Linked DNA regions of Cricetulus griseus. The protein of the gene in region 3 interacts with the protein of the main gene of each other region in a pairwise test. Links are inferred from orthologs where the notes say so. Each region holds a gene or a part of one and is shown on either strand. Other genes may lie near its edges. The genes, in order: Ncf2, Naa10 and Kifap3.

Region 1 (3,645 bases), about 10 Mb from region 3:
ACAATGCCCAGCGTCCTACCCTTTAACATCTAAAAATCTCACTCTGAAGAATCTCAGAGACCACAAGCATGGGAGCGAAGCCAGTCTCTGCTTCTCGGAAGCATTGCTAACTATCAGAGGACTGGCCTAAAGGCCGGTTAAACGAGTAGGCCCCAAGGCAGAGCGAGGTCATGTGACATGAGCCGGAGCCCCAGACATAAACAGCAGAACCTTACCATTTCATGGTCCTGTAGTGTTGAGTATGTTTGTGGTTTTAAAATGCATAATATGTTAACTCAGCAGTGTGTGGGTAATAGGAACTATTTACCACCCAAGATGTAAGAACCATTAATCACAAATTCATTCCCAGTAGATTAGAATCACTTGGGACATTTTGCTAACATCAACCAAAGGTCTAGGAATCCGGTAGTTCAATCTCTTCAGCATTGTATCCTTTTGTGAACCTCCAGATAGGGAAGGTAAGAACAAAAATGCTTTGATGAACACTATACAGGGCCACTGAAGTATTTACACGTGGAATAGGCGGGCGGTGTCCTAGATGAGAATGCATTCCTTAGGCAGAAGCTGTGCCTGTTCGTAGGGGAGTTATACCCAGGTAGATTGTATCATAGGTCTGTAACTTATATTTAAGTGGCTCACAGGGGCAAAGAGGTACTGATATGTTGTTTACATTTAAAATTTTTCTTTTAGCATGTGTGCATGATGGGAGGGCAAGTGCCCTGGCGTGTGTAGAAGCCAGAGGACAATTTCTTTGGGGAGTTGATTCTCCACTTCCTGCTTTAAGTAGGTTCTGGTAACTGCAGTCATCACCAGGTTTATGTAGCAAGTGCCTTTAACTACAGAGCCACCTTGCTGGCCCATAACTGGTGTATTTAAGTGAAAAGTGTTGTAGTATTTTTTGTATCCTACTTCCAACTTTTCTGAAGGTCTGCAATTTTTCAAATAAATATGCAGGGGAGGGGCATAAAAGCAGCTCCAATAATCAGGTAGTCATGGAAAGAGACCTCTGTCATCTCCATCAGAATCTGCTTAAACTCACCAGTAACAAAAAGTCATTGCTTTCCAAGACAGTGCTACCCAGCTTAAGAGAGATCCTTCTGGAAAGATCTCCCATCCACACCTTCCAGTGAGTGGTCCCTTCTTCAAGCCCTATAGTCTGGAGAGCACATACACCTCAGTGGTTTGAAGAAGGCTGGGGTGAGAAAATGCAGTTACTGCTGCCTTTCTTCTTGGACCTAGTTTAGGTCATTTGGTGACTGCTCTCATGACAGGCACTTAACTGTCCCTTCATCTGCACTCATTTCTAAGCAGGTGGGGGAGGGGCATTGCCATCACCATCCAGTGGCATGATGGTGCAGGCAAGACAGGGCTCTGAGGAAATGTAGTCATCAGCCAAGAGGCATGCTGGGTAAAGAAACCAGAATTTCCTAGATGGCTAGGAAAGCAGCTCTTCATCATGAAGCATCCCAGAGAGCTTCTGCTCCTGGGCCACCAACCTGGTGACAACTGGGATCTTGCTGGGGCACTGGTACTAGGAGGAGGTGGAATATCAGATTCCAGGGAGGTGTCCTCCTGGAGGTGACAAGAGGAGACAGTCAGACAAAAGCATGAGGGCTTCCCTGGAAAGAAACTGGATGCAAATGACTAAAAAAGTTAGGGTGATATGACACAGAGAGATGACTAAGGAAAGGGGGCTAATTCGTGGCAGCAGTAAGAATCTTAATGCCCACAAGGCCCTTCACGCCATCTCATCAGCCATTTTGAAAACCCACCAAAGTGGGGTGGCATGCTGTGCTTCTGTGCCCACTGCAGAGTGTACAGAGAAAGGGAAAATTTCACTTCCCATCTGCAGGGCATTTGAAACTTTGAAGTGCCTCAGTTTCATGACTGACCAGGGAGGGTTCCACACATGTGCATCTCATTACACACTATAAAGAGACAGACCACGTGCTGTCCTCAGAGGGCCATGTAGCTAAGGATGACAAGCTTCTGATCCTCCTGCCTCCTCTTTCCAAGTGTTAGGAGCACATGCCATCGTGCCTGAATTATTCAGTGCTGGGGATTGAGCCAGGGCTTCATGCACGCTACGCACGCACTCTGCCAACTGAACTACATCCCCAGCCCTTACTTTGTTTTAAATGGCATTGTAGTAACAGACACATTGATGACTCTCCCTGGTGAAAAGACTTGCCTGGGAACATCTAGCTCTAATGGTCAGGCTTCGCTTTCCAAGTCTTCCTGACCAGAAGGACTCACAGGGTGGGGCGAGTCCAGTGGATTCCTAACAGTTGCCTCCACTTGGCATAGCTGATCTTTTCTTGTCAGGCCTAGGCATCTGATATCAGCTCAAGTGGCCCAGAGCTAGTTGAGTCTTTCTTCCATGACAGGAAGACTGCCCCTTTTCACATATTCTTCTCCCTGGAGGGCTATGTGAGGGGTGGGGGGGGGCGGGGCTAGGCCTACATTACCTGGGGCTGCGACTGAGGATGGATCCGAAGCTCAACTGGCTCCAGGTAGTTGCAAGGGACAAGCCCCTTCTGCAGTGTGGCATCCCAGGACACAGAAAGGAAAACAAAGACTCATTAGTACCCAAAACACAGAACAGTCTACAGCCATGCGTAGGGACAGCACTCAGATGATGGCCCAGGTCTGCAAATAATGCAGCAGATACCACCGTCCCATGGAAGAGCTCTGCCCTTTGCTGCTGGGACCCTATGCCCTTAGCACCTCCCCATGACCTTCCAAATACCTGTCCATTGAACATGACTGTGGCCCAGTTATCACTGCCCTTCTTCAAGACAAAAACGATGTTCCCTGGCATGACCTGTAGCTCTTCTGGTGTCTCAGGCACAAAGCCAAACAGCACTCGATGTGCCTCGCCTTCCAAAGCCCTGAAGGGTACACAGAAGACCCAGCCCATCATTCAGCTTGGACCACACACATCCCCTTACTGCAGGAGAAGCAACGGAGGCCAGAGACTTAGCTTGGCACTCACTCTAACTCCACATCTTACTGTCTATGAGACAAGAGCAGGGTGCTGGCCTGCATGGGATCCTGAAAGGATGAGGTGAGAAACCGCAGGTGAGTCGTTCCATAAGCACACAGGAGTTCCCCTTGTCCTCAGGAAACACTACACAAGAATCCAAGAGATGGGTGAACCCATATATGGTACCCAACCCTTGTATGCCCCACGCTTCTACACCTAGGTATACACATGGCACAGCTTTCACTTATGAACTGAGCACACCACCCACGTGGCTGTAACTTTTATAATCCCTGGTTGCCGGCAGAATTAGCACAAATTCCTTTCCCGTAACACTTAGTCAACAGAACACGTTGTGTAGAACACCCCACCCCCATCACTCATCCTCTCTATATTGTCTTTGTTTTTTGAGATGGGATATCACTCTGTAACTCAGGCTGGCCCGAGCTTTCAGCAATCCTGCCTCTGCCTCTCAAAGGCAGGGATTAGAAATGTGAGCCTCCATACCCTACCCTTTTTCCTATTAAGTCAACTTTCATGTTTTAACATAAAAGACAGCCTTACAGCTTTGTCATAAACAAATTGCTGGTGTTGGCAGCACTCTTGTGTTTTGGGTCCACCATTAATCAACACAAGGGGTACTTGATCAAGCACCATAATAC
Region 2 (4,373 bases), on a different chromosome or scaffold from region 3:
ACATTTTGAAGGTAAACTTCTAAGAATGCCTTCTAAGAAAGGGTTCTACTTAACTATTTTATCGGTGAGAACAAAATGGAAAGGGCCTAGGATAAGGACCTGGGCTTCATTTGGGGGAACTAAAAAAAAAAAAAAAGCCTCAGTGAGACAGGTATGGGATGGGTTAGCCTATCTAACCAGCTCAGCTGCTGTTCCCCCTTATTTGAAGCATCAGATCCACTGGACAGGGTCAGAAGTGAGAGAGATACATTCAGAACCCATGGTGAAAATAGGCAGAAGACGATGTTGTCCTGAAACTTACAGAAATGTGTCAGCCTCTACGTCCTGAGGGCTGGGACTAAAAGCTTTCCCCATCACACAGGGTTAGAGGAAAGTCTGACACCCTGTTATAAAAACCACAACATGCAAGGGCATGAGTTACGTGTCTCTGTTTGATAAGGCCTGTGGAGTAGAGGACATGTTACAAAGTTTGTTGGCAAGTCAATCCAGGATTCTTTGTTCTTTTTGCCTTTTAATATAGATTAGGTAAACGTGTGTTTTTAAGTATTCAATTCAAAGTGTTAGATAACACACTACAATCAAACATAGAGCACCTGTTCTCTCAGCGTTTCAGCACATTGCCTGCAGCATCTTCCCATTGGGTTACAAGCTGAGAAAACCAACTGCCTATCATCCTCAGCTTTCATCTTTTCCCAGGACATGGTCTCTTAAAAGTAATGAAAACCACTATCAAAATAAAGTTTTACTGACTTGAGCTAAAAAAAAAAAAGTAATGAAATCATGGCATTTGAACTCTGACCAGTGGTGGTAGTACAAAGGGGACAGCGAGGGCCCCTTCCTCAGCCCGTGACACTCTGGTGTGTCCTGCCAGACACTAGCTGTCATTGTCTCCTTATTCTAGTTTCGTGATCCTGAGTTCGGGGAATGGTTCGGCTATCTGAACCGAGAGGGAAAGGTGACCCTCACCATCAAGAGAGGTCCTTTTAAAGGTGAGCAAGGAACGGGACGAGACTGCAAAGGTTTGTGGCACCTGGCTCCCTAGGACCTCCTAACCCCAGCATCCATTCCCCTCACAAGCTGCTTCCACGTGCCGCAGTGCCTGGCCATGTGCGAGTAGATTCTGGAAGCCCTGCTCTGCCGCCTCCGGCCTGCTCCCGTCATGTCGTCGCTCACTGTCCCCACCCACAGAGGCTCAAAATAAATCTAACCCTGCTCCATCTGCTTGTGTGCGCACCTCTGTGGGCCGGGCGGGAGGGTACAGCTACTCCCCACGATGCCCGCGTTACCCAGCCTTCATAACGGCCTTGAAGGCGCCATTTTTGCACTGATCCACCGCTCCCATTAACTCTCGGTGCGCTCACTGGCTGTGCGGTTCGGAAGCGGATCCCGTACCACACACTTCCGCTGCAGGTGGGGCGGGCCGGCCCGCCTCTTCCGTTACCTTCCTCTGGGAGCCTGGCCCCAGCCCCTATAGTCCGTGCGGTTCTTCTGAGTGGCCGCTGAGCGTGCACGTTCATAACCCACGAGGACCTGCGAGCTCCGCCGCCGTGATGAATATCCGCAATGCTAGGGTGAGGTGATGGGGAGCTAGCCTGTCCACAACCCATGGGCGCCTTGCCGGGTGACCGCGTGCACATGCTAACGAGGGACCTGGTGCTGTGGTCCTCCACGTCTGCGGCCGCTGGACCTTAAGGCTGTTGCAACCTGCCCTGGACATTTCGCGATTATACTATCCCGCGTTTGCCTAATGTCAGGGCTCCATCGAGTGGGCTCGCGACCTCCAGGCGGTACTGCTCGGTCCTTGAGTTGGCGCGTTTTGCATGGCTCATGGAAACCAGGCTTGTGCAAAGTCATATAGTCACAACCCTGACCTGCCCGGGGAAGGGGAGGCCCAGAGATTAACAGAGAACAGGGGCCCCGCATTCGTGAGGCCCTTCTTAGTCACTGCAGTCCTGGACTAACCGTGTCCCGCTGTCATGCAGCCCGAGGACCTGATGAACATGCAGCACTGCAACCTCCTCTGCCTGCCCGAGAACTACCAGATGAAGTACTATTTCTATCATGGCCTCTCTTGGCCCCAGGTGGGCAGGTTTTGCGTTTTGTAAGGGTGTAAGGGACAACAGAAGGGAATCATGGATCTGAGTGGGCCAAAAGCACTGGGCAGTGAGATATACAGTGCCTTGGTACAGCGAAGCCATGGCTGATGGGGAAGCCTGGCAAAGGAAACAGTGCAAGGGATTGTAAGCTAGACACAGGTGGGAAATGGGATTCCCACCTGTGTCTGTGCTTTTCCAAGAGAGGGCACAACTGTGGAGTAGGGAATCTGGGACCCTTGCATTCCAGGCCACCAGCTGTCACAACTGGACAATTTTTGCTGCTTCCCACTATCCTACACACAGCAGGAGGCTGGCAGTGAGCTCTAGCCTGTTGCCTGCTCTGCCTGACATCCTTTTCCTCTCTGTTACCAGCTCTCTTACATTGCTGAGGATGAGAATGGGAAGATTGTGGGGTACGTCTTGGCCAAAATGTGAGTCACCAAGGAGGAAGAAAAGAGCCTAATTCTAAGACTGGGGGTTGAGGAGCTGAGGGAAAAGCTTTGGACAAGGGAATGGGAAGCCAACACCATCCACATCTGGTGAACATGCTGTGGATTAGTTTTAGAGGGGTTCTCACTCTTTTGCCAGATTGGGCTCAAACTTGCATCAGTCTTCATGCTGAGCCTCCTGAATGCTGGGATTAACTATGCCCAGCTTGCTGTGAATTGTTTTTTAATTAACAGCTTGTTGGTAGGGTGTTTCTAAATTGACAGAAAGATTGAGCAGAAAGTACTGAGTATTTCCACACACCCCCTCCTCCACATTTGTTCTCTCACTACCATGTATGGTACACTTATTAGAAGTGAGAAACCAACACAGATTTTGTTTAGATTGATGTTTTCATTGTTGGGCTTCTGTGTGTCACACACCCTCTGAGTTGGGCAAATGAAGAGTGTCTATCCACCTTTAGAGTATTCCATCCTTCCCACAACCTCCAACAACAAGGTTGGTCACCTTTTAAGAAGGCTGCAGAGTTGAACTAGGAACTTATAGCTCTTTCAAGCTGCCTCCTTTCATTCAATGCTTTGCATTCAGCAATACACTGCTACACTTTTTGTGTCTTGGCAGCTGACTTTTGTTGTTGTCAATCACAGGCTAATATTCTGTTGACACTGCACATATCTACTGGGTGTAGCATGGGGGCTTTGAGGAGGGCATGATTGGTTATTCTGATTCAGAAGTTCCTAGTTCTCCTCTGCCTGGATCTGGGGTGCTGTAGGGTCCATCACGATGTCTGTGCACTTGATGTGTACAGGTGTCCGGTACATACTGGACCTGTACCAGGCTCCTTTCTAGCTTTCTCCTCTAGGGAAGAGGACCCAGATGACGTGCCCCATGGACATATCACCTCACTGGTGAGTAGAGCTACTGAGGGTTTGGCAGAGGTGGACTGGAGGTAGCCTCCAAGGTCCCACTAGTACCCATCCTTCTCTCAGGCTGTGAAGCGTTCCCACCGGCGCCTTGGGCTGGCTCAGAAGCTGATGGATCAGGCCTCTCGAGCCATGATAGAGAATTTCAATGCCAAATATGTCTCCCTACATGTCAGAAAGAGGTGAAAGACAAGCTTGGGGAAAGGACAATGCTGGGGAGTGGGGAGGAAGAGGTACCCCATTGATAGGGGTTCTGGGGTTTACTGCCTTCAGAAGAAGATGGTAAGTAGCATTAGTGGGAAAGGAAGACTGGGAAGAAAGGCAGGGCCTGGATATAGCCTGCCAACATGCCTGGTCAAGTTTCTGAAGCTCAGTAGTGCCTTATTCCCCTGCAGTAACCGGGCTGCCCTGCATCTCTATTCCAACACCCTCAACTTTCAGTAAGTAGATCAAGATTTTTTGTTGTTGTTGTTGTTTTGTTTTTAGAGACAGGGTTTCTTTGTGTAACTGTCCTGGCTATCCTGTAATTCACTCTGTAGACCTGGCTGGCCTTGAACTCACAAAGATCTGCCTACCTCCCAAGTGCTGGGATTAAAGGCATGTGCCACTACCTCCTGGCAGATCCAGATTTTTTAAGTGGCGTGATCCATCCTTTTAGCTAAGGTGAGCTAAGAAAGGGGTGGAGGAACTTCAGTCATTGCTAGGGGTCCTTCTGTATACTCAGTGGCTGTTCACTGACAAGCTAACATGGAGAAGGCACCTGGTTTCTGTGTGTGTGGTAGAGGAGGTGTCCTGCACATCTTGCTGGATAGAGGAAGTATGGTTTGTTACTAAGTGCTAGTGAGGCTGGTGAAAGGAATTATAGTAAAGAACACACAAGGCAGCTGGGCGTTGGTGGCGCACGCCT
Region 3 (4,071 bases):
CCCCCAATTTAAAGAATAAGTTACTAGCACAAGGAGATACACATATTAATAGATCTTTTGGTGAGGACTGACAGTGAAGAAATAAACACCCACTTTTACAGTCTAATTTTAATAAGGATGCTCCAAATATCAATGGAGAGAAAGAAGATCTCTTTGACAAATGATGCTAAGATTAGATATTCTTAAGCACCATATACAATAAGTAATTCAAGTGAATAAAAATAAATATTTAAGAGCTAAAACTATAAAACATAAGGGAAAACTTCCTGGCCTTGAATTTCAAAGGTAACGGTAACTATTAATAGATTAGACTTCAACAAATTAAAATTGTTGACACTACTGACATATTCAACACAGTAAAAAGGCAACAGTAAAAAGACAAATGTTTGTAAACTGCATATTTAATAAGGCCTGGTATTAAGAGTATATTTCAGAAACAACTTTTTCCTAAAAGAGAAAGACAAATGACCAAGGAGCAGATGAAAGGAGCTCAACCTACTTAGTAATTAGGGAAATGCAAATCAAAATCAAAGTAAGACACCACTTTACACCCCCTAGAATAGCTACAGTTACAGAACACACATACAAAATAATACAAAAAGAGAAGATAACAGGCATTAGTGAAGTGTGGAAAAACTGCAATGTTCATAGAGGTACAGACACCAAGGGAAAGCTATTTGATGAGACTTCAATGAGTCCAACATAGAATTACTCCATGTTCCTGAAATCCCAAGCTTATTATATACCAAATAAAGAAGAGAAGTGTCCAAACAGAATCTTGTTATGATAGCAACTTTATTCCCAATAGGCAACAGGCAAAAACCACCTAAATATCTACCTACACTTGGGTCATGAATAATCAGATTACAATATACCCATGCAATGAAACATTATTCAGTTCCAAAAAGGAATAAAGTGTTAATGCACAGTATAAGTGGAACATAATCAAACAATGTGAAAAATCTGAACAAACATCATACTTATATCCATCAAGTCCCTGCCTTTTCCATTAGGTCTGTATACTGTATATATAATAATCATCTCTCTCATATACATGTGTGTGTGCATATACATAATCTGGAGGTAATGCAAAGTTTATTTTGTCAAAATTAGATTAAACAATGTACTTTCAACCTTTTTTCCAGATTCTGACTCTAACTGAAACATTACGGTGACTAAATCAGTTGCATTTATTGTTTTCTAAATGATGTGGTTTTAAAAGGGGGTCCACATTAGTGCAACAACCTTGAGAAAAACCACGCTTGACACAACCGTATCATAGGACAATCAGCAAATGGTACTTTCTTTAAAATAACCTCAGGTTTACAGTTGAAATTAGAAAATTTAATGGATTTGACAAAATTTTTGAGTGTGTTTATGTGTGGAGGTTTGTGGGTAAATGTGCATTGTGCATGCTGTTAGCAAAATTACGTGGGCAAAGGAGTACTGACTCACTGAGTTACGATTACATATTCCTTTCACAAATCTCTACTAAAGGTCTTTTCATTTGCCATTTTCCATGAACACATTAATTGAAAAAGACGAAGGACTATGTTCCCGTCTTTCAGAGGCACTATAGGTGATTTGTAATTGTTTGACTATGTTTAAGAGTTCACTAACACTTGTAAGATGTTTCTGTGACATCTAGAATCCCACCAAGCATGGGGAAAAATAAACTCATCAAAAGCATTTTAGGACCTAAACTAATGCCACCACCTAATAATATGCATGTTTTCTCTTTCAAAAGTATTTTCATATTCTGTCCTTATGTCTCCCAGAAAGTAACGTCTCTCATTTTCAGATGAATTATGTTTCCCCCCCCAAAAAAACTGTGCTTTTTGTAATGAATCAGCAACAAAGCTTTGACTAAAAATAAGAGATTCCAAATTAGCATTTTTTTTTAATTTGTTCACTGCTTGCTCACCCTTGGTCCATCGAGAGGTGTATTTTAACCATGGATGCCCATATCTTTGGCAGAAGTTAAGGAATCTCAACAAATTTCCATTTTTCTTTGGAGTAGCTGATATCACACATACTTAAGATAGAAAATGGTAAGCTCTTTCATGCCAAGGTCTTGCTAGTAATGCACTTTCTACATAAATTATATTGTGAAGGTGACAGTCAAATGGGTGAAATGGACCAAGGACAGCTGGCTGGACATCTCAATCCAGTCTTGCATGAAGTCTGTATTTCAAAACACGCATGATTTATGGCTCTCAAACCGAACACAAATTGGTGATGTGACAGAATTCACTTCCAAGCTCCCATGGGATTTATCTATTGAGGAAAACAGAAGAGTGGGGCAGGAGAAACAAACAAACAAACAAACAAACAAACAAACAAACCCGCAAAACCAAAAACGAAATATGGGTTTTACCTCGCCCAACCTGCCTCTCACTGCGGATACAATTAATGTAGCGAGGAAGCCATCTGATGCTGTCAGGGCCCCGCCAAACTAAGGTGGATTAAGGACCTCGCGCCCCCACAGGGCCCGTCCTTTATTCCACCCCATCACTTCCCCCCTCTTTCTTTCCTGCCCTGCATCCCAGCCCTTCTCTCCTCAGGCTTTGCCCAGTGACAGCCCCTTCGGCGGGGAAACACCTAAGGACCTGCTCAGGGCGGGGCCCGGGTGGTCACCTTTTGAGGTATCTGGCGTCCTCGCCTTGCATGGCGGCGGCGGTGGCGGCGTGGGGAGGATGGGGGTGTCTGAGAGTCTGGGCCGGCTACTTCCGGGGACCGGGACAAAGTACCCTCGCAGCCCCGGCGGTGACAGTCCCGAAGCCTGCGAGGCGGGGCGGCGGCGGCGCTGCGGTTACCACGGTGAGGCCGCCGGCTCCTCCCACAGCTCCTGGGCCCCAAAACCCTGGCGCAGCCCAGACCCGCCCAGAGCCGCCAGGGCCAGGCTCTCCGCAAGGCGCATGCGCTCACGCGGCAGCTGCAGTACGCGCAGGCTCAGTTCGAGACCCTGGCTCCTGCGACTAATCTGACGCTTTCAGGAACCGGGCGGGAAGTGTTTGGTGCTTATCTGGGAGCCTGTGGTTAAGAGTGATAGTCCTCGTCACTGCCCCCTGGAGGAGGGGAAAGGAAAAGGCATTGCAATCTGCAAAATTGGAATTTAAAGTCTTTAGTGTGAAATAAGGCGAAAGTAACCAGCTAACTTTTTTTTTTTTTTTTTTTTTTTTTGCTAACTAATGATAGACATCAAGTTAGCCTTTAACTAGCAACGTCTATGGCGGGGCTTCCGTTTTGGAACATGTGAAAGGTTCTGCATTGGTTGCACTGAGTTCTGGCTGGCAAAAATAGTCTGTATTTATGGAATGGATAGAATTAGACACAACTTTGAAAGTCACATTTTAAATCATACATGTAGAAGATAGTACCATCCATCAAAACAAGCCAACTTCTGAACTTCGAAACTGTCCGTTAATTAACCGTAACTCAAAATTCATGAGTAATTGTTTCCTCTAAGGCAGGTCATTGCTGACAACTTTCAGGGAAAAGAGCTGATTTTTGAGGGTGACAAGCCACCTGCTCTGCTTTAGAATAGCCTCCCCTTTAATCTGTCCCCTCAATTACTATCTTCTAGTCCCACATTAGCAGCCACCCCTTCTTCAAATGAGTTATATAATATTGATTGACCTGTAGTCGTGAAATGTCATGCTGGCATACACTATATGGCATGAACACTGTAGAGAGACATTAATGATTTATGGCCCCACCCATTCACACCAGCTATACTATTTCTGTTAAAGCTATAATTATTCTTTCAATATCAAGGAAGAAATTTGGAGCAAACTTTAAGTCCTTTCTGTTTATCAAGTTTCCTTATTGAAGTGTCACAAAATTCACAAGACAGTCCTGCTATTCACTTTTTCTTCTCCATTCACACTCACACTCAGTCCGTTAGTCTAAGCATTTCACCTATGGAGTCCCTCCTAACTCGACTTCCTATTTTCTGTGTTTTCTCAAATATTGACTCTTCAGTGCAAACATGTACAAATTGTCATTCACAGCATCTTTAACCGTAACAAAAGCAGGGCACAGTATTTTAAAGCAGTGGTTCTCAACCAG

Evidence for each region.
Region 1: the proteins of Kifap3 (region 3) and Ncf2 interact in binary tests that used the Homo sapiens proteins (3 or more experiments, as listed by UniProt). The two-hybrid records come from large-scale screens. The link is inferred for Cricetulus griseus from reciprocal best matches to the Homo sapiens genes KIFAP3 and NCF2.
Region 2: the proteins of Kifap3 (region 3) and Naa10 interact in binary tests that used the Homo sapiens proteins (3 or more experiments, as listed by UniProt). The two-hybrid records come from large-scale screens. The link is inferred for Cricetulus griseus from reciprocal best matches to the Homo sapiens genes KIFAP3 and NAA10.

What each region holds. Positions count from the first base shown.
Region 1 is NC_048598.1:38,811,030-38,814,674, forward strand, and holds part of Ncf2 (neutrophil cytosol factor 2), read right to left. Parts: intron 2,892-3,645; coding exon 2,750-2,891; intron 2,538-2,749; coding exon 2,469-2,537; intron 1,573-2,468; coding exon 1,497-1,572; intron 1-1,496. UniProt on the Homo sapiens protein: Subunit of the phagocyte NADPH oxidase complex that mediates the transfer of electrons from cytosolic NADPH to O2 to produce the superoxide anion (O2(-)).
Region 2 is NC_048604.1:1,827,710-1,832,082, forward strand, and holds the start of Naa10 (N-alpha-acetyltransferase 10), read left to right. Parts: upstream 1-1,550; coding exon 1,551-1,571; intron 1,572-1,982; coding exon 1,983-2,081; intron 2,082-2,468; coding exon 2,469-2,527; intron 2,528-3,405; coding exon 3,406-3,451; intron 3,452-3,532; coding exon 3,533-3,648; intron 3,649-3,861; coding exon 3,862-3,906; intron 3,907-4,373. UniProt on the Homo sapiens protein: Catalytic subunit of N-terminal acetyltransferase complexes which display alpha (N-terminal) acetyltransferase activity. Acetylates amino termini that are devoid of initiator methionine.
Region 3 is NC_048598.1:28,529,403-28,533,473, forward strand, and holds the start of Kifap3 (kinesin-associated protein 3), read right to left. Parts: upstream 2,894-4,071; 5' UTR 2,670-2,893; coding exon of another isoform or gene 2,638-2,669; intron 2,278-2,637; 5' UTR 1,957-2,277; coding exon 1,925-1,956; intron 1-1,924. UniProt on the Homo sapiens protein: Involved in tethering the chromosomes to the spindle pole and in chromosome movement. Binds to the tail domain of the KIF3A/KIF3B heterodimer to form a heterotrimeric KIF3 complex and may regulate the membrane binding of this complex.